Drosophila melanogaster: one gene and its partner. The gene in region 1 interacts genetically with each later gene. Each region holds a gene or a part of one and is shown in the gene's direction. Other genes may lie near its edges. The genes, in order: cbc and tut.

The links.
Region 2: of cbc (region 1) and tut, changing one enhances a phenotype caused by changing the other (phenotypic enhancement), as found in Drosophila melanogaster (one study listed by BioGRID).

What each region holds. Positions count from the first base shown.
Region 1 is NT_033778.4:13,475,288-13,487,330, reverse strand, and holds cbc (crowded by cid), read left to right. Parts: upstream 1-1,939; 5' UTR 1,940-2,046; coding exon 2,047-2,139; intron 2,140-2,207; coding exon 2,208-2,760; intron 2,761-2,850; coding exon 2,851-3,358; intron 3,359-3,426; coding exon 3,427-3,544; 3' UTR 3,545-3,819; downstream 3,820-12,043. Other genes in the region: cid (centromere identifier), read right to left, coding at 963-1,640; CG43192 (uncharacterized protein), read right to left, coding at 9,291-9,391, 9,451-9,583, 9,640-9,782, 9,837-9,972; arr (arrow), read left to right, coding at 5,363-5,555. UniProt on the Drosophila melanogaster protein: Required for endonucleolytic cleavage during polyadenylation-dependent pre-mRNA 3'-end formation.
Region 2 is NT_037436.4:8,204,632-8,215,658, reverse strand, and holds tut (tumorous testis), read left to right. Parts: upstream 1-4,915; 5' UTR 4,916-4,987; coding exon 4,988-5,101; intron 5,102-5,167; coding exon 5,168-5,346; intron 5,347-5,401; coding exon 5,402-5,801; 3' UTR 5,802-6,082; downstream 6,083-11,027. Other genes in the region: CG8012 (uncharacterized protein), read right to left, coding at 1-59, 128-157; CG8006 (uncharacterized protein), read right to left, coding at 2,183-3,694. UniProt on the Drosophila melanogaster protein: RNA binding protein that forms a complex with bam and bgcn, involved in 3'UTR-dependent regulation of a subset of mRNAs. Preferentially binds a long isoform of mei-P26 transcripts.

The sequences.
Region 1 (12,043 bases):
GGCTCCTACATTTTAGGATATAGTTTACAACGCGTCGTTGTAGCAAAGAAGGCAAAGTGGCTAAGGCTGCTGGGAGACAGAACTGTTGCAGTCTCCGGATATCAATTATATGGCTAAATATTTAAAGAAAATAAATACCTATATTTTGTATGATTGTGTAAGTTGTAATATATCTAGACAGCAGTACTTTTACTGCGCCCAATTAACACATGTGCAAATGCCAAAAAGAAAGCAGAGCCGCCAGCCAGAAAATAGCTTGACGAAAGCTCAACTTACGTTTAAGTCCTGTAACCACCCATTGGCAATCGATCCATCCCACGAAAGACAGCAGATCAAGTGCGAGCGCAGTTGCCACATTCAGTTGAGGCCAGTATCTAAACTATCTATCTATTCATGTTACTCGTTTAAGTGCTTAGTTCTCTATACATCGAGGTCGTCCGATGGGCCGCGACATTCTAAATGGTGACTCATTTCAAAAAGCGCACTACCTACCTTGGACTAGGCCCATAATTTAAGTGCGTTTCGCGTGACTACATCTTATGCATCCTAATCCTAGCTGAAACCCTATGTTTGTAGCTCGCACGGCGCTGGCCGGCAACTTTATAGTTAAACTATTATGGATTATGTTTTATGTTGTACATGAAAATGGAGACGAAGCAAGCAGCAAGAACTAGAAATAAAACGAAATGCTATACGTATCTCAATGACATGTTATTTATTTGGTGAAGTTCATCCCGATTCTTATAAAAATCACGAGTTATTTGAGTGAATTGATTACTTTGAACCATTTGAGTGAAATTAACAATCTTGTCGAGCAAAAATATTTATTTAAAGCTAATTCTAATTGGTACAAAAAGGGGGATGTAACAAACTCTTTGAACTTTTCATTACGTAAACACTACAATGGATATACACAACTATTCAAACAAATAACTAAACTAAGCCTAAACTTCTCTTTTGGACTAAAATTGCCGACCCCGGTCGCAGATGTAGGCCATCAATGCCATGTCGCGCACCTCCAGTGTGACGCGATTGCGATGCTTGGTTAGCATGTAGGAGTCGGCGAGCCGCTGCGTCAAGTACATCTCGCACGACTCCTGCATGGCCAATAGGGCGCCTTCGGTGACCCTTAGCGGCTCGTCGTCGCTGTACTTCACGATGAACTCGCGCACTAGACGCGAGAACGGCAGCTTGGGTATCAGTGTGCCGGGATGGTGCTGCAGTCGCCGGATCTCACGATCCATTCTCTTGGCTCTGCTCATGGGATTGGCCGCTTTGCGCCGCCTGGTCTGGTTTTGCGCAGCAACTGGCCCTGCTGCTCGCGTTTTGCTTTCCTGCTGCACGGTCATTCGACGCGTCTGCGGCGATCTGGTTGTGGGATAGCGATTCTCCTGGTCCTCCTCCTCGCCACTGGTGGAGCTGTCTCTCGCTGCCGGCTGCCTCCGTCCGGCGTCCCTGCGCAACGTCGAGGAACGCCGATTGTTGTCCTGAAGCGTCAGTTGGCTGGTGGTGAATTCGAGGCCGTAGTCGGTGCCGTCTTCTGGCTCCGGCGAGCGGAAGGCCGTGTCGTCGTCGTTCGGCGACTTTGAGTTGTTCGCCGACGGCCTGGGTGCGCGCTTGGCTCTGCTGTGTCGTGGCATTTTCAAATTTTCGGTATTTGCTTAAAATATTTTTAAAGAATTCCCGCTTTTTTGGAACAGTGTGACCGTATAAAGCAAAGCAAATAATGCCCAGTACCGATACCGATTTGAATGGGCACTGACTAACTAAATATATTTCTAGCAGTTGAGAATTAAAATATGTTTATTTATGTGACAATTAATATTAATGGGAATACATGGTAATTGTTTAAAGACGTCCAGTACTTTAACTTATTTTGCAGTGATCATTTATACCCCTAGAAATCGATTAATTACTACTATACAGGTATCGATCAATTCCCATCGTTAGTGCACAGCTGATGTGAAATTGTTTACCTCCTAAATTTTTGGATAATTACCCTATTTCGCCATTAAAACTCATTAGCAGAGCACTGAAGATACAGCCATGTCGGAGGACCAAGGCAAAGACTACACACTGGAGTCCGACTCCGAGCTGCGCTTTGAAATCGAGCAGAAGGATGCCAAAGTGCTGGTGTCCGTAAGTAGTGCAAAAACCTTTTTGGATTACAATAAATTCGTTATTTATAATCAAATTGTTGATTTCAGCTGGTCAGTGGATTTGCGGAGCTGTTCGGCACGGAGCTGGTGAAGAAAAAGCAGTACGAGTTCGGCGTGGGCGCCAAGGTGGCCATCTTCACGTACCAGGGCTGTGTACTCCACGTCTCCGGCAAAATGGACGTGTGCTACATCTCCAAGGAGACGCCAATGGTGCAGTACGTCAACTGTCATGCGGCACTGGAGCAGTTCCGCATGGAGGCCGAGGAGAAGGATCGCTACGGACCAGTGGCCATGGTCGTCGGTCCCATGGACGTGGGCAAGAGCACTCTGTGCCGCATCCTGCTTAACTATGCTGTGCGCGTGGGTCGTCGACCGCTGTACGCCGACCTGGATGTTGGACAGGGCTCGATTGCCATTTCCGGGAGTGTGGCCACCATTCTCATCGAGCGACCGGCGAACGTTGAGGAGGGATTCGCCAAGACAGCGCCGCTGGTCTATCACTTTGGCCATAAGTCTCCCAGCGGAAACAGCGTGCTGTACAATGCCGTGGTTTCCAAAATGGCAGAGGTAACACTGCAATCTCTGAATAGCAACAAGCGAAGTAAGTTGGGAAGGTGTAACACATATCTTTGCACTTTTCAATACATTTTCCCGTTCATAAACTGCAAATTTCTGCATCTGCTTTTTGCAGCAAAAAGCTCTGGCATTATTATAAACACTTGTGGCTGGGTAAAGGGATCCGGCTACGCGCACCTGTTGCACGCGGCCAAAGCCTATGGAGCCTGTGCCATCTTTGTTCTGGACCAGGAGCGACTATACAACGAGCTGCTTCGAGATGTTCCCAAGGGAGTTCATGTGGTACTGCTGCCCAAGAGCGGCGGCGTCGTCGAGCGCAGCAAGGAACTGCGACACGAGGCGAGGGATCAGCGCATCAAGGAGTACTTCTACGGCAATACAAGGGCGCCCTTCTATCCGTTCAGCTTCGAGGTGAAGTTCCAGGACCTGCGACTCTACAAGATCGGCGCACCGCCGCTGCCCGACTCCTGCATGCCAATTGGAATGAAGGCGGAGGACAACAAGACCAAGGTGGTGGCGGTTACACCCACGCCCGCCCTAATCCATCATGTGCTGGCCCTCAGCTTTGCCGAGTCCGTGGAGGACGATGTGATTGGCACCAATGTGGCCGGCTTTTGTTGCGTGTAAGTGCTGCTGAACCTAAACTAGATATTATACTAGTTATATATGATTGTTATTTGATTATCCTCAGAACCGAAGTGGATATGGAAAGACAGGCAGTGATGTTGCTTTCGCCGCAGCCGCGACCTTTGCCCCCGAACGCCCTGCTCCTGTGGTCGGAACTGCAGTTCATGGATAATCATACCTAGCATTTGTAAATGCTCTGCTCTAGATGTAATTTAAGAAATTTTATATTAATGTTGGCGTTACAAAAAATACAGTTTAGATGTGCAAGTAGTAAACTTAAAGTTTTCCACAAGTTTAACAACTGAAATAACATTTAATAACATTTTGCAAAAATTAATTAAGTTTTGCTATAAAAGAATAGAACATATATCAAACAAATATTGTAATTTCTGAAAATTGAAAACTATTATAATTAATTATAACTATACAAGAATATAATATTCAGTATATGTATTGTATGTGTATGTATGTATTATTATGTGTTTCTTATAACCACTGAAAAAGGGTTTTGTAAAAATTGCATTTGAATATATTTGCAATGTGCATTTTTCGCCATTTGGTAAAATTATGTAATTCTATTCGAAAATAATTCAAACAAAATGGTGTTCTAAATTTTTTTAGCAAGGTGTGCAACCAAACGTCTACTCTACTTCCAGTATATTTTTGGTATATTTAGAACACTCAATTGGTAATATTTAGGCAAATTAGGTGCAGCCATACTGACGGCTGCGTACGTCGCCTCAGTGCGGTCACACTGTTCGAAAGAGCGAGACGAAAAACACGGCAACACGGCGGACGGAAAACTCAGTGAAAAGTAAATCAAATATTTACAAAACAAAGTAACCACAAAATGGCTGCGCTCGGTCGAATTGCGTTGGTTTAACAACAAATAGCGATGAAACGGCGACGATTAATACACTTTCAACGGGCATAAACCATAGATACTGTGGAATTTGTCGTGCTTTTCGTGTTTGTTGTGCAGCATGCGAGATGTTGCTGATGTTGTTGTTGGAATGTGTATCAAATGGTTCTAAAAACAAAACAAGAGATTTTCGGGCATCTAAATTTACGGCCTGCTTGAAAGACGTTCTGTTTTCCCCCAGTGTGTGTGTGCGTCTGTGCATGTGTGCGCGTGTGTTTGTGTGTTTTCTTCTCACTTGCTCTCTGTTGCTGCTGCATTTTCCAGCGGCAAACGGCGTTTGTTTTGGTTGCGTCGTGAAATTTTCCACTGGAAAGTGCAGCGCTGCGCCTTTCTGGGGGTTGCACACACACGCGCACGCACCGCAATTCGTCGATTGCCGGCTTGTTGCGCCGTAGAAGCGGCGGCAAAAGAGGTTCCCTAATTACCCAGAGTCACCTTATCACTTACAGTATTTCAATTTGGCGACCAGTTGATCGGAGGGGGTGATGGCGGTGTGGTGGCCCTCACACAGTTGCACAATTGCTTATCACTCGCTACTTAACGACAACAACAATTGGTGGCTCGCACACATGCAAACAAGACGATCACACTCGTCAACAAAGAAGCGGGAAACTCAATTGAAAGACTGAAATAACAACAACATAAGCAACAGCTAGCTTACACTACGCAACAAAAGTGCGAGCACGAGGAACTAAAAGTTATTAACTCACTAGTGATCAAAACTGAAATAAATTTGAATTGTATTGTAGTCATAACAGTTGAACCAATATTAATCTATTAAAAAAGATACGTAGAAAGTAAAACAAAAATCCTAAAACCTATTTACTAACAGGCATAACTCTGCAAATACTGTTGTAACTACAAACGAGAGTTCAAAACAAGGGTGTTATTTGATACCCTAGGGAGTGAAAGATTTTCGAGAGCGACCTGTTTTCAAACCTCCCTCTCCCTTCCACTTGCAGTTTTTCCGTGTGATTACCATGTGCGCCTAACAAAAGACAAACACGATCGGGTCGCGTCATCTGTTGTTTTTGCGCCAAATGTCTTAAAATTCCGGAGATAGTGCTTCCAAAATAAGATGGCTCTCGAGCCATACACAAAGTCTGCTGAAATCGAACCTCAATTGTGCCAAGTTATAGATAATAATGAAGATGTGACAACGAAAGCGACGAAATGCACGAAATCTAACAGCGGAGTGGGCTGGCGACAAATGCTGATCGGCTTTCTACTGATTTGCTTTGGCATCTCAAACAGTTGGCAGTACAAAAATGGTAAGTTCTGTGCTTTCATTTCGAACAAAGGGCAACGGTTTTGCCAAAGGAGCTGGGAACTGACAAGCATTTGATGGCAGTTCGATTAATTTGACGAGTGGCGAGGGCTTTGAGTTCAAAAAACCGCAGGGATAGACAGTTTGTAATGGGAATGGGGGTTCGCTGATATCGTTCCTCTACTTTCCTCAAAGGCTTTTGTACTACAGGTATCGCTCGCTAATGTGAACCAACGTAGTTGCGTGATTCCCAAGTGATTGAATTATAAATTGAGAGTGTTTAGTCTCAAATCAATATTTGATATTTATATTTATTGGTCAATATTCATTTTAAATAGTTAATTTAGCAAAATTTCAATATGTACATCAAAAATTACTATTCAGATAGAATATTTACTTAATAGTATAGTTCCTTATTTCAATGATTCACTGAATTTAAAAGCTTAAAATCCCATAGATAAAATATGAGTAACTGAACTGCATTTCAGGCATGTTGCCTGTTCGAGTGCCCACTGTATGCGTTTGTTTATGTGGTTTCAACTGCACTTTTGAGCTTCCCGCTCCCCGCCCCTCGCCCAGCCTTTTAGCCCCTTCCTTTGCCGCTTTGCGTTTTCCTTTAAGCTCTTTTTCGTGTTGTCAAAGCCCAAAGGCTGACAATTTCTCGGCGCAATGCTTTTATGAATAAACAACTACTACTTATTTAGACTGTAGTACGCACTCAACTTGATTGCACTGCGCATAATTTAGTACCCCCTTCTTCATCTACTTCTACTCCTACGACTACTACAACTCTGCGGCCCCACCAAACACTTTTCCACTAGATGCGACGCTAATGAGCTGAAAAAAGCAGCTCACTAATAATTCAGCAGTTGTAATATGGCAAAGTTGCCCGGTAATTGCCGGCATATTTCAAAATGCACAAAGCATTGACCCAGGCTCAAAAATTATACACTCAGAAAAATGTTCAGTTCTCATCAATTAAATCTTGTATAACTTGTACATTATTTAAAATCTAATGGTAAATCGATAGATCCACTCTATATGAACTGTTCTGTTGGGAATCATATGTAAAGTTAAGATATGAAGTCTGTAAGAGGAACTTACAAATTTCGTGGGCTGAAACAGTTCTTCTATAGATTAATATTGCATGACTCCTTGAAAGTTTTTCTCAGTGCAGCTTCAAAAAAGGGGCTCAAAGGACTGAAGTAGAAGGGACCTGCACGGGACAAGTCAATATGGAAATAGCAAATGGACAAAGGCCGTCCAAACATCGTTAAGCCCCAAAAACGCTCGAGTGTTTGGCTGAAAGATAAGCCTTCGGATTCTTCGTTTTTTTATTTTTTTTTTCCGGCTCTCTCCTTCAGTTGCAATCCGAAGTTTTTTCGGAGTCCGGAATTGCGAGTACTCCAGCATGCATGGGGGCATCCACAAAGCAAGTGCCGCCGCACCGAAAAGGAAGCCCGAAAACTTAAATTTGTCGAGCCGGGTGGGAGGAAAAAAAGCGCATCAAATATGTACACAAAGCTCCGGAAAAAAAACCCCATCTTCCATCATTCCCGGCCAGCTCTCTGTCGTGTGTGGGTGGTGTGTGGGCGGCTGGTTGGATGCTTACTTTCTTTAACACTTTGACGCGCGCACAAAGTGTTTTTTGCCAGCGTTGATTTGCCGCCCATGCCACCCATGCCATCCATGCCACCCATGCCACCACTTCCACACTACCCACCGGCCACCCAGTTCTTCTTTAAACCTTGTTCTTTTTTGCAGCTAACTGACGTTTTTGCGCGCTGCTGTCATGCCGTGTGGGGGATTCCCCCTTTTTTTTGGTCCCTTTACGTAAGCGCTATTTGCTTTAGCTTCTATTTACTACGCCGTAGTAACGCCAGTTTAGTAGTAATGGGAGCACTTCAAAGGCGACGGCGCCTTTGACGCCACATCCACCGCCCACTGACGGCATCCTGCCAGCCAGTCATCCTGCCATCCTGGCTGACATCCTTTGCGTCCCCGCGGGACACTCGACATTTCACTGTTGTTGACATTGATTTTGATTTCATTTATGTGTGCACCATTTCCACTTTCAACTTTCCAACAGCCAGCTTGACATTGGCTTAGGAATGTCAGTCAACACTTGATACACTTTGTCTTTCCTCGCGGGATTTGCCTAGGAAGCATTAGTCGCTAGTATTTCCCAATTATCCAATTAAAAATGCCCAACTCAATTAGTCATGCGTGAATTTCAGTTTATTCGTTGCAATTAAAATCTTAATTTGATGTTTAGCATACTATCAGAATGTTAACTATTGCATGAACTAGTTTAATTATATAAATGAAAGTGATTTTCATAAGTAAGCTGCCAAAAGAAAACAGTCTAAATAGCCTTTAGCAAAGAATCATTTCAAATTTACTGTCTGTAGAAAATAAGATTTTGGACAAAGATTAATGCAATTATTTTAATTGGGTTTCTATAATCTGTTTAAAGCTTTTCACAATCCGTACAATGGCAATTATGCCAATGTAATATGGTTATAATTCCCTGAGCTGTTTTACAGTTTAAAATCGTACCTAATTTTGCATAATTATAAACATACTAACACCAAATGAGCTCATGAATTGCAATTAATCAACTAAACCTTTAATCATACTATTCAAAGCTCGGTTAAACTTTCCACAACTGGCAGCTTGTTGATTTAGTTTGCTATGGAAATGCATAGCTGTTAAACAGCTTCCTCTCAGTTATTGCATCCGAATATCTGCTTAAACTTAAGCCCAATGAAACGCTTCAAACGAACAGCAAACACAATTGGGCTTTAACTAACCCAATCATCCTGGGAGCCATCTGCATTCCGTATGCAAACTGCTAAAACCAATGGCAAACTCTCGGTCCGCCGGCACAAATGTATCACTTTGCAATTTAAACAATAATGTTGTGGTGTGGTCAGTCTGGCGTTTGTGTAATGCATCTGTGTTGCATGCCCGGCAGTTCGGTTGCATCCACATCATCATCGCATCATGGCATCATCCTGCTCATCAACGCGACGAACGCCCTACTCCGACCACAGATTTGTGTGTGTGGGCGGGTTGGTCTGGCACTGACCTCTGTGTGTTGGCTGATACGGCTGTGCGTATTGCGTATATATTACACAGAGAAAAATAATCTAATTTATTAGTTTTATAAAGTTGGATTGGTGTAGAAAATAAAATGCTAAGGAGTTCCGAACTGATAAAGTGGCTGACTGCCTGTAGAAACATTTGTATTTCTACAGTTTCTTACTTAACGAAATGCTTAAAATATTTGATATAAATTCTATTTTCCTGTGCATCTGCTTAATTGGTTTTGGTATTGCCAACAAATTGGCTACCATATGCAGCGCGGTTGGCATATGCAAATATGTGTATGCAACTGCCACAAGTGCAACAACAAAACGCATCGCGAACCCGTCCAACTGCTTTTGGCCAACTTCTGCATCCTTCTTGCCGTTGCCGTCGCTTATCACTTATCGTAATCTTGTAATTACGTGTGTTCCACAAATGTTAATTGCGAAAAGGGAAACATTGATAGGCTAAGGGCATTCCCAGCTGGTTATCCACCATCTCGATTCACTCGCACTTCGGCCAGCACTCCTTTGCCGTTTGCAGTTTAAACGAGTTGTTCGCATGGCAAATCGTTAATTTAACGATTGTGTTTATTATTATTTTTTTTTTTAGGAACTCTCTTTAATAGCATAATAAAACCATCCAAAACTTAGACGGCTGTTTCATCGGGACTCTCGTCGTTCACGTCACTCGATAGACCTAGTTCCACTAAATGCAGGCTCACAATAAACAGGAAATATATTTCCATTGCTTGGGATGGGAAAAGTAATTAATGTGAAACGAATAATTTGTCTGCCCCAATATCTTACCAAATATGGGAACGAAAATCAAGGCCAATATAATGTGGGCATAGGCAAAGCACAGGGACAGAATAACGATCAAGTAGACGAGGGCCAAGAAGATCGATTTTAATATCCAAATCAATATGGGTATTATACCAGACTAATAACTAAGTGTGAGAAAGTAACTATAACTAACTTAACAATTTAGCTACTTACATTCACGCTCAATAGCAGTCCGATATCCGTCAAAAGGTCGACCAGCAGGACAAGGATAACCTGAATACGATTCTTCATCATTGTAACAGTGATTAGATCGTGGACATCGTCGCCGCTGTGTTTTTCAAAATACCAATGTCGAACTGAAGAAAAGTTAATGAAAATTCATTTAACGATCACAAGCAAATTGCATTTACAAACAGGCCCTGGGAAATAGAAGATAGTCAGGTGATAGAACAGGCGAAGTAAATCGATTATTACATAGGAACTTCCTATCACAACCACTCCAGTGCTGATCGAGTAGCAACAAAAGAATTTGTTTAGCAAAGCCATGTTAGAAACAGCTATTCACTTGAATTTTCTCCAACATATTGTCAGTTTTTGAAAAGCCATCATATCACATAGGTGAGAATAAAATAATAATACGACCATAATTTATCCAACAAGTTGCCAATTTAAAGGCACAAAACATGTCAGCAAGTAATTAAATTTCTATACCCATTTGCATATCTGCAGGCGCGCAGGCAACCCTGTTCTCCGTGCGCCTGTATGCGTGCGTATCTGTGTGTATGGTGCCACTTAACATAGCCGTTGGCTTTGGCCAACTAACGAACTGAACGAGAAACTGAAATAAAAACAAGGGGACTCCTCGACTCCGGAAACATTTAGGGATGTGGCGATGCAAATGCGACCAGCGCAGTCACAGGTGAAGTCACAGTTTTCAAGTGTGAACTATATAAAATATATAGAAAGTTTTAAGATTAGGCCAGCTGTATAATCTAAACTTTTATTAATAGTATTTTATGATCAAATATTCTAAAGTAATATAAGTAAAGTAAATGCTTATGGTTACTTTGAATAAACGATAGTTTCTGATTCCCTTGAGTTGCCCATCACTAGCTGGCATCTTGGCCGTGTCTCCCTTGCTAACAAGCTCCCCACCCGGCTCCACCATCCCGCTGCTCCTGGCCACCTTCGTCGGCCGCAGTGGCTGGTGGGGTTCCTTTTGGTTGCTGGTTGTCGTTGCTGCCTCCGCCGCTTTAAATGTCTGGGCGTTCGTGCGTTGCCTGCAACGCAGCAGAGCAGCGCATAAACATGCACATCGTTAAGAGACGAGACCGGGCTCAGACCCAGGCCCAAAATCATGGCCCAGACCCTTTTGGGCCGCCAGCAGTCCCCGCAGTCGCCCTGTCCCGGTCCCACTTGGCCACTTGCGACTCGTTTCCAAGCCAAGCCGGTCATTTAGAGGCCAGGCCCAGCATGCCTTCCACCACACATATCCGTACAATCAACAAACCTGGCCAGAAATGTTTTTCCTCTTTTTCTTCTTTATACCTTGTTTTTTCGGTTCTTTTTTTCTGGTTTTTGGCTTGTTTTGGCCTTTTGACTGCTCTTTGTTTTCGTGTAATTGTTCTGACTGCCGTTCTTGTTTACGTTTCATTGGCTCCCGAGTTTCCTTCCTTCTTATTTTCATATATATATATATATATTTATTTTTTTTGGCCAAAGATCTGAACTCCATATGGCGATGGTCGAGTCTCGGGTTTCGTTATCTAATATTGCTGGGAGGAAACATTAATTCGCAGCTCGTTGGCAGATCCTTCGACTTCATAGTCCAACAGCCAGCAGTCTCCCCGTTCGACGAATTGCTAATTTATTTCACTCTTGTACCTCGGAACACGCTTCCTATCTAGACGTTGGAAAAAAACCAATTTAAAGTTTATTTATGGCTTTTATTATTTTATACCCTCTCTATATTTGGCATTTTTCCTGTTGCTCTTTTTTTTTTTGCCTTTTGCAGCTGCCTCTTCGACTGGCGTTTGTCAATTTTTAACCTGTTGTGCATACTAATTTGTCCAGAGCTCGTTTTTTTTTTTATATCGTATTTGATTTTCCCCGGAGAGGGTATCTTCTCCATAATTTAAGTGACACTTTGGATGATTTGTGGGCCAAGCGAAAACGCCTCGATTGATTTTTTAATTAACTTTTGTCGAACGATAAATTAAGGCTGCTTATATATATTTTTTTTTCGTCTGGTTTGTATTTTTTTTTAGAAGATCCTTTAACTAAGCCAATCAAAACTTTGTAGACTGGCAGCCAGAGAAGAATAAAAATTCACTGGCTAACGCATAAATTAAACCACGATGCCGAATTCCAGCAATCTCCTGGATACATCAGCATCATTAGTTATACATAGGTAGAAAACAAGCCAAGTGAAACCAGAAAACCACAAAAACTAATTTATCACACAGATGGTTCATGCTAAGTTTTAATGGTTTTTGATGGACAAAAGGGAAAGAGTTCGATAACGTCAAAGTTAAAAAAAAAAAACACAACCAAAAGAATGGTATTGGAATACCATGTTTTTTTTTTTTTAGAAAAAATTCGAATGGGTTATTCGCTG
Region 2 (11,027 bases), on another chromosome or scaffold:
GGCGTCGTGACCAACAGCTGGGGCTTCGCCTGGCTCAGGGCCACGAGCCACAATGCGAACTGGCAGGATTATTGATAGGTTTGAAATATATCCACAAATCCATATATCCACAGTTCGGCGCACTCACCATCAAGACCTTGACCAACATGACTCCCATTCGATTACTGCTCCTGCGGACTGGCTGGCTGGCTGGCTGGCTTTGCGAAACGAAACTCAAAATTTCACTGCTCGATTGGCCGGGCTAGTCAATCATATTTATAGCCTTTGGCTGGAGGGCAGGGCATCGGATCACATCGGATCGGCCCAGAGAATCGTTGAGAACCGGGCAGAGAGTCGGAGCAGTTGGGCCATCATTAATATTGCTAGACCTGAGTGCGCTGAGTGGCATAAATTATATTCTTAATGCTATTTGAAATTGCCGAGAAAGAATAAATATAAGACAACGACTAATAAGCGTCTCAAATTGATGAAATTCCCGTGTACTCTGTCGGTCATAAAATGGTTATTAAAAAGTGATTGAAAAAAAATTATTTCGAAATTTTGATGATCAAGAAGAAAATACAAAGATGTTGTCATAAAATTGCAACAAACATAAATATACGATTAAAAATTGTAGAATTAATTTGGAAAGTAATCAGTTAATCCTTGCTTGATTTAGTAGAAGACTTAGAGTAATATGCAATAAGGAAATCTAGAACAAACATTTTATACATAACACTGATATAATAATTCATTATACAATAAAGGGGTACATGATTAACCAGTTTTATCAATTTAAAAACGATAAAGCTAAGATAAGAAATCAATGGATACCTATTCTTTCGATAACTTCCCTTTCGCTTTCGCAGCCTCAACTTTCTCCATATTTAGCACCATTTCCGGCTGCGTCACAAAGTTTGCCAAACACCAAACGATTCCGCAGCCGCATTTGATACCCTTTGTTTCACAATTGATGGCTAGCAGCGAATGTCGCGCCGCCTTCTTTGGACAGCCATTCATTACTACAGGTAGAACCGCCCTACCTGAGTCACCAAATACCCCTCTCTCCCAACCTCCCTCAAAAGCTGGCACTTTGCATAAAATATTTGCGTTTACTTAGACGTTGTAAAAATTATAATTATGTGTGCGTGCCTGACATGCATCCCCATGCATTATGAAATGGGGGATTGAAACGAAACCATATTTTGCGATCACTTCGCTTAGATAAGACCTATTCCCAATTCCCAATTGCCAATTTCCAAGGGTGACGTCTTGCTTAAAGCCTCCGGTCTAGGACACCACTGGCACTTTAAGCCATAACTGCCAGCTGAATTTGCAACCGGGCCAAAACATGGCCAACGATGGGCAGGGTAGCGAAGGGTAGCATCGTGCTTCGCAAGCTATAAATAATTAATTAATTCAGACGTAGACGAGTTTAATGGGTAGGGAAAGGGTAGGTGGGGGGAAAGGGGAGGTGTTTGTGAGACGACAGAGCGTTCTATGCAAATTTCCGAATATAGACCATAAATTCACAAGCCAAACGAAGCCCGATGAAGCCATCACTTATGCCCTACCTATAACTGCGCTCAGTGTACAATGTACCCTATATATACTGTACGCTTATGCTGCCATAATTATATATGTGTATATATATATCGGATACTTTGCGGATATTAAGTTGCGGCAAGTTCTCTGACCACCGATGGACTTCAATGGCGACCACGCCCAGCCAACTCGATGGAAAGTACTTTGGAAAACTGCTTTTAGCGACAGTTTTCGCTTGCCTTTTTCCCGGCTTTTTCTGAATTCCTTTTTTTTTTTTGCTTTTTGTATTCTTTACCGACTGGCTTTGCTGCTAAATCCCTGCTTGCTAACAAAATGTCTATTCTATTCTATTTTAACCCTGTAACGCAGCTTCCGTTTCTGGTTTTCGCAAAGCTGCAACGGAAACATTGCATAACTAAAAAATAGCTGCTGTTTACGAGTAGATTGTTTGTTTATTGTGTAGTCATCTCCAGCTTTGGTCCCTTTCCCCAACTCGCCCGTTCACTTTGTATCCCTGTCAGCAGTTCTTAATTTAATAAAGCGTAGTATTTAAATTAATTAACGAGCAGCGTAGCTCGCGGTGTAAACGGGCTTACACAAAGGTGCAAAATGATATCAAAAATCTGGTGCGAGAAAAGTTGCGGATTCGCAGGATGCTTTACTGGAACAGTTGGTCCTTCTGGCGGAGCAGTGATTTGAGATCCCGGGCCAGCTGGTCGTGTTCATCCTCCAGGCGATCGAGCATCTTGCTAAGGACTTTATGCGTGACGATCCCGTGACAGTTGCTCCTGCACAGTTCCATGATCTTGGCCAGGTGGACCATTCGCTCCCGCTGCAACTCCTCCTGCAGCTCAATCTGGTGGCGCATCTGCTGTAGATCGTCCTCGTCGTACGATAGCTTCTGGGCCAAGATGCTTCTGCGATAAGTAAGCCAGGTGTTCTGTAGACATGCCATCACCTTATGGCGATACCACTTGAGCGCCACCCTCTCGAATCTTCGATCCAGAGCCTGTAGTTCCCAAAAATTACGAAGCCCAAATTTCTGGAAGCAGGTTTGGAAAAATCTCAACCGTTTGGATTTTCCGCGCCAGCGTTTCAGACGCTCCAAGGCCTTGTAGGCACCAACTATGAACCCTCTGACTCTCTGTTCAGCTTTCATAGTATCCATTGAGAGATCAGGCATGTCCATCACATCCTTCATCGTGCCATCCGAGTTGTAGTATGCCAAGCACTGGACACGCAGCTGTTCTCTACGCATCAGCAATCCCTGAACAGTTGGGTCCGTAACGCCAATAGGAGAATGGCATTGGGCACTGGCTCGCTCGGCAGGAACATCCTTATGAATCTTCTTTGGCGGCTTTGGCGGCGGAATCTTCGATTTATATTTTGATTCGATTGTGTTTTTCAAACGTTCGGCCATTTCCTCAAAGCAATCCCTCAGATTTTTCACAGCACTTGATCGGCGGTTGACCTGATCTATGACATTGGTGATCTTGATGAGTTTCTCTTGGGATAAGGAACTGGAGGAATGGGTTCTTCCGCTGTCAGGTGCATCCCGATTGAATGTGGAGCTCGATGGATGCTGCTTATTTCTCGAGAGCTCATACTCCAATAGTTCGACTCTCTTCTTCACAGTGTGACTATCAGCACCATTTGGGGACTCGAAGCCAGTCCTTGGATAAACTTGGCTATCCTTCGAGTCAGAGGATCGCGTATTTGTTTTTCGTATTATTGTCACAATGCTGGCAAAACTACTGGTCGTAGGATCATTTTCCGATTGTTCGGAAACCTCCTTGATGGGTTCCAGTTTCCTGGGTCGTAAAATTTGAGTCGAGCACTTCTTGAGCAGTGTAGGTGATTTGCCAGTAGCTAACTTCTTACATGGCTGGCCTCTGTACTCATCCAAAATTACGTTCAGATTCCTACTGTAGTTACGCACATCCGTGAACGGTTCCTTGAGCACTCCAAAGTCCTTCAAGTGGCCATGCATGAGCAGCATCAGGCTATTTCGGGCCAACTTCTCGCTGAGAGGAGCCTTCTCGAATATCTTTATCCATCTGGCCATGATGGGGCGATCCGACTGCTTAGCCCTTGCCTGATCGGCATACTTGTAACTGGCTAGCTGCTGCCTGAAATGGCGATCCAGTAACTCCTCGCTTAGATCCTTCATGGCCACATTCGCATATTCAACCGGAATCAACTGATTTTGTTCCCAAAAAATATTTGTAATTTTAATGATTTGAATAAAATGAAACCGCTTACTCAAATCGGGTAAGGAAATGCGGAAATATAAGTGGGACTAGTGGCCTTACTCGGCGACTGTCACCAAACGTCTCTCAACCGCAGAAAGGGGAGGGGGGTCAAAAGTGGAGCTCAGGGTTTCTCAGAGATGCTTCAAGTGGTGGGCCCACGTCTGGCAACAAGCACAAGGAGCAGCGACACTACACTTTAAACAAAGAATATCAGAGCTTACTTTTCAAAGAACTTAATGGATTTTCTTGTCGAAACACTCTTACCTGGTGCGTCTCTACACTACGTGGACTAAACTGGACTTCACAGTGATAGCTTTTGCATTTACCACTTCATTTAAGAAAACTGTTGTGTATTAATCTAACAACATGTTACCTCCCACAAATAGTTTAATGTCAGTAATTTGCTTATGGCCATTTCGAAACAATGAATTATTAGTGTAACAGCAGTAGCAACAAAACAGTATGCGGTTGCCACGTAAATTTTCATTAGCGCAGCGCGCGTATAAATTAGGAAAATGAAGCAGCAGCAGCGGCAGCAGGCACTTGAGTGCACCGCAACCTCCATCAAGATGCCCCCTGGTGGGGTGAGTGGGTGGTGGAGTGGGTGGCGGATGGGCGGCTTAACCGCAGCAACAACAACAGCGAATGCGATGCGAACCTACATACATACATACATAGGTGCTGCGGCTTGTGGCGAACTGTGAGCAAAAGTTGCAAACGACCGACTGCCTGCATAAATTTATATTGTTAAACATGAGCTAGAAAAAAGCACGCGCAGCCTGTCAAAAGAAAGCAAAAATAAAGAGCAAAGAAATTGCCTGACATGCAAAAAGCGGTTTGGAAAAAGAGTAAAGTAAATGCATAAAGTACATAGCAAAAATAGAATACCTTCGTATAGAGCTGAGTTCGCAGCAATGCCAAAAAAAGACCTCTTACGCAAAAATATAATATGAAAACACTCTCTATTTTACACAAATGTTAAACATTCAAACAAGTTCATAAACAATAATAAGTTTATGCCCCTCCGTTACTTTACCTAAGTGTTAAGTATAAAGAATTTTACCAACTTCATTGACTATCTGGCAACGTCGCGAGCGTTGTATGTTTTAAAGCTTATTTGGTCACACTAAATCATTGGCATCTTAGCTTTTTTTTTTTTTTTTGATGCACGCGTGTATGCTGTGTATTTTTTTTTTTTTGCTATTTTTAAAATGGATTTCGAGAGCAAATACTGCACCAGTCAAGTAAATGGCACTATTACCATAACTACGCGCAAAGTCCTTGATGAAAATCTAAAATCCTTACTGGATGAGGGAAAGGGCGAGGTGAGTGTCTAGTGAAGCATCTAGTCTCAAAAGTTTACGGAGACACTAATACGTTTTTGCTTCTAGCTGTTTCTCTCGTGTATACCGAGGAATCACAGTTGTTCTCCGCGGTGGATTGTGGAAGTGGCCAGCGAACTGGGTGAAGTTTACATTATGCGCTATAAGATTGATTTTTCGGGAAATTCTCGCGGCTACGCCTACTTGCAATATATCAATGTGGACCTCAAGGAATCGGCAATGCAATAGTACGTACTTCGTAATAATTTTCACATAAAACAGCACTAACCCTAATAATCCCAGTCTGCCAATGCGATTCCGACAGCTTTGCATGTGCTTAAGGGTGGAGCCATCGACCAACAATCGCGAGCTGGTGCTCAAAAACGTAGAATCGTCGCTTAGACCATGGCAAGTGTACCAGGAGATGTTGAAGATACATCCCTTTACCATCGTTCGAGTCTACGAGTATCAATTAGACCAGTTCTTCTATATATTTGAGTACCGCAACAACGACTCGGCCGCAAGTGCCCATCAGAGAGTAAGGAATTCGATCAGAAAATTCGGTGAGCATGCGCACATCTCCTGGTTGACTGCGGAGAACATCTTGAGCAGAGCCAGCGGTAGCTTCTGTTTTCAACGGGAAGTAAGCCAAAATCGTACTCGACGCGTTCCTCCCAGACAAAAGGGCTGTTTCAAGTTTTAAATGGAAGTGGTATCAAGTATGTTACTTTATTGGTTCATGCTACCAAATCCATAAGGCTCCAAATGTTTTGTTTGTACTACACGTAAGTAGGACGAAAATGTATAAAATACTTTAATACTTTAGTTATATTTTTTCTATTGTTAAATAAGTTTATAAGTAAAATAAGAGTACTCTTAAATAAGTCAACCATTTAGATATGAATGAAGATGTTTATTGCTTGATTTGTGTAAGTTTTTGTAATACGTGGAATTTGAAAACAAGAATATGTGTTTTGCAAAGTTAATCTCTGATTTTTTAATGAAATTTTAAAGCCAAATATCAAATCACTTTTAGAATGCATACTATACCTTAAAAAAAAACTAACCAAGCGGATTTTGGAATTCCTGTGGCTCTCTGGGCAGTAAATTATGTTGCTGCCCATGCGAATGTAACATAAACTTTCACCAGTTGTTAGGACAGGGGGAAATTATACACAGCATTGTTCCTGGCAAATCCTTTTGGCCCGCCGCTTCTCACTCTGATGAAATGCAGCCGCAGCTTGTTGACTTCATTAACTCTGGGCAAAAACAGCGAGCAGCCATAAAAATAAAAAAAAATAAAAAAAACAACACCGACAGCGCAGCGAAGCTGCAGTTTTTCACATGCAAATTAATGCAGTGTCTTTGGAGTGGCGGAGTGGCAGCCAGGACTTTCAGGGCAATGCGACAACCTGCGGCATAATGCAATTAAATGAGTGCAGCGAGCAGGAGTCGACGCTAGCCTCCGGCTGGCATTGTGTTGGACACGGTGTCTGGGTACCGGGTCTGACTCCAGATTACGGGTCTCCAAAGTGCAATGATCGACGGACGGGAGTGGAGGGAGCGCAAGACATCCGTCAGGCGAAGGATGCACAGGACGCGAGGTGCGAGGGACAGGTCCGCTGCGCATTCTAATGCGATTGCCGCACTTGACGGGATGTCGTGGCAGGCGGAAACGGATGTTGTTGTCCTGCTCAGCTCTGCACGGTTGCAATTAAATTAGAGCCTCAAATCGAAATGCAGCCGTAACATGATGATGCAAAAATAAGAAGCGACTGGCATATTCTGGAAGCCTCATAAATATTCATTGAATTAAGCTTAAGTCGAGACATCCTCTCGGGGCATTCAGGGAAAAACAAGCCGAGCTGAATGTTTTCCAAAATCATTTGCATTAATTTGTTAATTCAAGCGCGACAGCCACGCCCCTGTTCACTCGCTTAAAGCCCATTAAAATTTCAAAGCCATGCGAGGGATTGTACGAGTCTTAACCCATTGGCAATCCCCGGCGCAAAGCACTCCTCCGCTCGCCGTCGAAGGGTTAAAGTCATGAAGCCGCATCTGTGACGCAATTACAAAGGCTCGAAGTTTGCTTCTAATTTTGCTCTACTTGCCATCATAAAGTCATCCGTTTTTCAACTTACAGATGGGAGCCAAACAATAGTTTCCTTTACTTTTTATATCCTTAAAATTCGCGAAACCAATGAAAAAACAAAGTTAAGTTAAAATACGTTTTATTTTATCGGAATAGTGAAGATCTTGGTAACCATAAGAATTGTACTTTACATGCTTGAAAAACAGAGATATAAAATATATATATTACATGATAGTCTTATTGTGGTGCCCCTGCTTTCCTGGTCACCACTGTGGTGTGACCCATTTTCGAGTCTGCGATGGAGGGCAACTCAGCCAGAGCTTACCTGGTTATTGCGGCAAGTGCCAATATTTGCCTTTCGATGCGAGCGGCAAAGAATATAAGGGGGACGTATAGTGTTGTCGAAGGAGCGGTACTGGGGCCCAAAAGTCAAGTGGGGGAGTAGGAGCAAGTGGGAGTGCCTGCCAACTGACACAGTTTGTTTAGGCTTTAAAGCGGTCGGTCCTTGGATTTGGGTCACAGATTGCCTGGGACAAAGGAGGCAAAGGAATGGGATTGGGGGGGTTCTGTCGCCGGAAAGCGAAAGTTATGCACATATTGAGTTCAAGCTTTAAGGGGAATGTGCCTGTACCCAATTTCTTGCCGCTTTCAGCTTTTTGAGTGCAGTTTTAGTTCCGTTCCTGGCCCTTTTCCATTTTCGTGCATTTCTCTAACCGCATCTGCAGCAAAGAGCATGACAGATGTGCATGATATAGCGATGTGGCGGAGGAGAACGTAGGAGGAGTTTGTGGCACTGGATACGGACGCGGATGTGGTAAGGTTGAGGATGTGGATGAGGGGTGGGGAGGGGATGGGAGGAGCCGCCAAACCTCTAGCACTTAACTCGAATTTTTGGATGATTTTTTAAGCAACTTGTCGTTGGCTTGGAAATGCCATTACCGACATGCATCATGAATATGGATGATTCTGCTTGTTTTTTCTGGGCCCCATCATCATTTCCATTCTCCGGTGGCTTTGGTTTAACCAGATGGAGTACGAAGCATGATTGGCGGATGGAAAGAATTCAATATGAGCTTTTGGTTCGTCTTTAAAAAGTTAGCAACTAGTTTGCCGATTAAATTTGCATGTTAACCAGACCTGAAACGCTGAAATGTTTTCATAAATGATGATGAAGAGCTGCAGCTGCAAGCATAAAAACCCTGATTAACTTTCGTTGCCAGCAAATTTAAAATATTTTATCAAAACAATTGTTTTTGTTTTAAATGAAAAGTAAACGCAAGTCCATTAACTTACAATTACAAGCTAACAATCATTTAAAACAAACAAACAGGATGTTTAAAGTTCCATTAAGTCAATGCTCTGCAATAGAGTAAAACAAAATGCTAAAAATGTTTGCTAATATAATTGTAATAAAGTAAATATATATTTTTAAATTTTATTTAAAACACATTTCAATTTGGAACGATTTGCATTAACATTTTTAATAACCATCCTTCTGATTTGAAGAGCACTTATCAACAATTCAGTACAAGCACTAAAGAATTACATTTTTTGTAATATTCTTTGACAAACTTTCCCTTACCCATCAGCTCATATTTTATTAATCAATTCAACTTTGTAGCCAAAAATTATGAAAATTCCCCCAGATGCTGCGTTGAAAGCAGAAGTTGACAATGAGTGCCGAGGAAGGCCAAAAGTGTCAGAAGTTAAAACAACACTTTTATTGACTTTTACGTAATGCCTTCCTTAGGGTTTTCTCTTTTTTTTTCGGTTTGGGACTAGCACTCTGGATTATACAAATTAATGAAAAAAGTTGTGGGCGTTACCCTGTCCGAATAGGATATACATACATATAGAAAACGCAAAAATATTTACTTTTCATAAGGCGAATGAAGACAGGACTTGGAGCAGGAAGTCGGTCCTTGAGGTCGTATTAAAAAATTGCCAACAGCAGCCGGTGGGAACTGTTGTTTCCGCTGGCAAATGAGTTTACGAGCGTGTCGTCGTGTCCTGGCTGCTTTGTTTATGCTGCATATTAAATAAATTTGACATCCGCCACGACAAGTCGTGCGGCTCTGGTTTTCGTCTTCGGAGTGGTTGTGGCAACTTTGCTTGTTGACAATAAAATAACATTTTGCACTCACTTAGCCCAGCTGGGCTTTTACCCACTTCTCTGGCCAAACTTGCCACTTGCCACCATTCGAGAATTTTAATGAAAAAACTTTTCCCCACTGCCAAGCATATGAAAATCGCTCATATTTTTGGTCCGGAAATTGGCATGCAATAGAGTTGATTTCGGTGCGCAATTTATTGTATTTACATACATACATATATACGAGAACGAGTACGGAGGCGGCTTCATTAAAATGTACACTTGATCATTGCTTGAATTTCTTGTGCAAACTTTCCATGGAGGAGCGTGCAAGGATGTGGCATAACAATATTACGCATACGCAACGTGAGCTGAGCTGAACTAAGGCTGTTGCTCCATCGGAAGCCCAATGGTGGCTGATAGCTGATTGTCAGCCGCTCGTGGCATTGCAAATCAATCAATAAAACGCCAGGGCAAGTCAATCGTAAGGAATTTTACGCAACACACAATCAAACGCATATTGACTTGTGCACAGGACACTGTGCAAAGAGATTAAACCCAAGTTGGTTGGCTAGATAGTTTAAAACTGCAAGTAGTAACTTAATTATAAAAATTAACTCAATTTGTGAAGTGTTAAGTTATTTAAAAAAAATAGTTTTAATAATTAAATTAGTTCTGTTTCAATTGTTAAAACATTTACATTTATAAGTTTGTTACCAAAGTAATCGACTGTGTATCACATGAATTATTTCAGTTAAAGTTATAATTGAATTCCTTTGACATTTAATGTGATCAACTTATTTAAGTGGCAAGTGGGCGTCAATTTAAAACTGCTAATTGACCGTATTTAAAATTGCCCAGCTCGATTTTCCTGCAGTGTGCGAAATTGTGAAATTCTATGCGCAATATTGAAGCAGCTGCTCATACTTTAGCTAACATTCCATTCCGATGGAGAGTCAAACGGACCAACTGACTGACTGAGTCGGACGGACGGACAATCGATTATTTGCAGAGTGCGAAATAAAACGTCAAATGAAATAAAACAGGACGGGCTGAAATGCACGAAAAGTATATAGAAATGTATTTGCCATATACCCATGGCGGTATGTACGATATGGATGGCTATGCTTTGGCACTGGCTCCTGGCATCGGATTCCTTCGGTCGAACGGCAATTTAATTTCAATTTCTCCGTTGCCAGGCTGCACTCTCTGTGACTTTCTCCATCTCCGATTTCCGATTATTTATGGTGCAATAAAAAATATATGTATATATATACATGTACATATATATGCTACAAGCAGGAGAGGCAGCAACTTTGCATTAGCATAGCAACAATATTTACCGACTCTTTTGTCCTTGCCACAATTCTGTTGCGAAATTTCATTATGAACGGATGTCGCTTAAGTGCACATTGAATTCAATTAGAGCCCGACAACCCATGCAATTCTACGTATGTACATGCTCTCGCAGAATCTGTGTAGTTTCTGGATGTGCGGGCATATCTAAGGATTCAAACCTGCCAATTGAAAATTGAATTATAAAATATTTCGCATACACACTCGCACTCCGCAAACATGTCCGGTTAGCAGTCCTTCTCAGGAACAGGACACAGAAAACCGCAGTCAGTTGTTGGCTCTGTGAGAGTGTGTGCGGTTCGGATTGGAATGCGCAACATTAAGAAGTCAATCTCTCCGGATGCAAATAATGCTATTCCTGCTGGGAATATGGTACCCTACCTTTTACG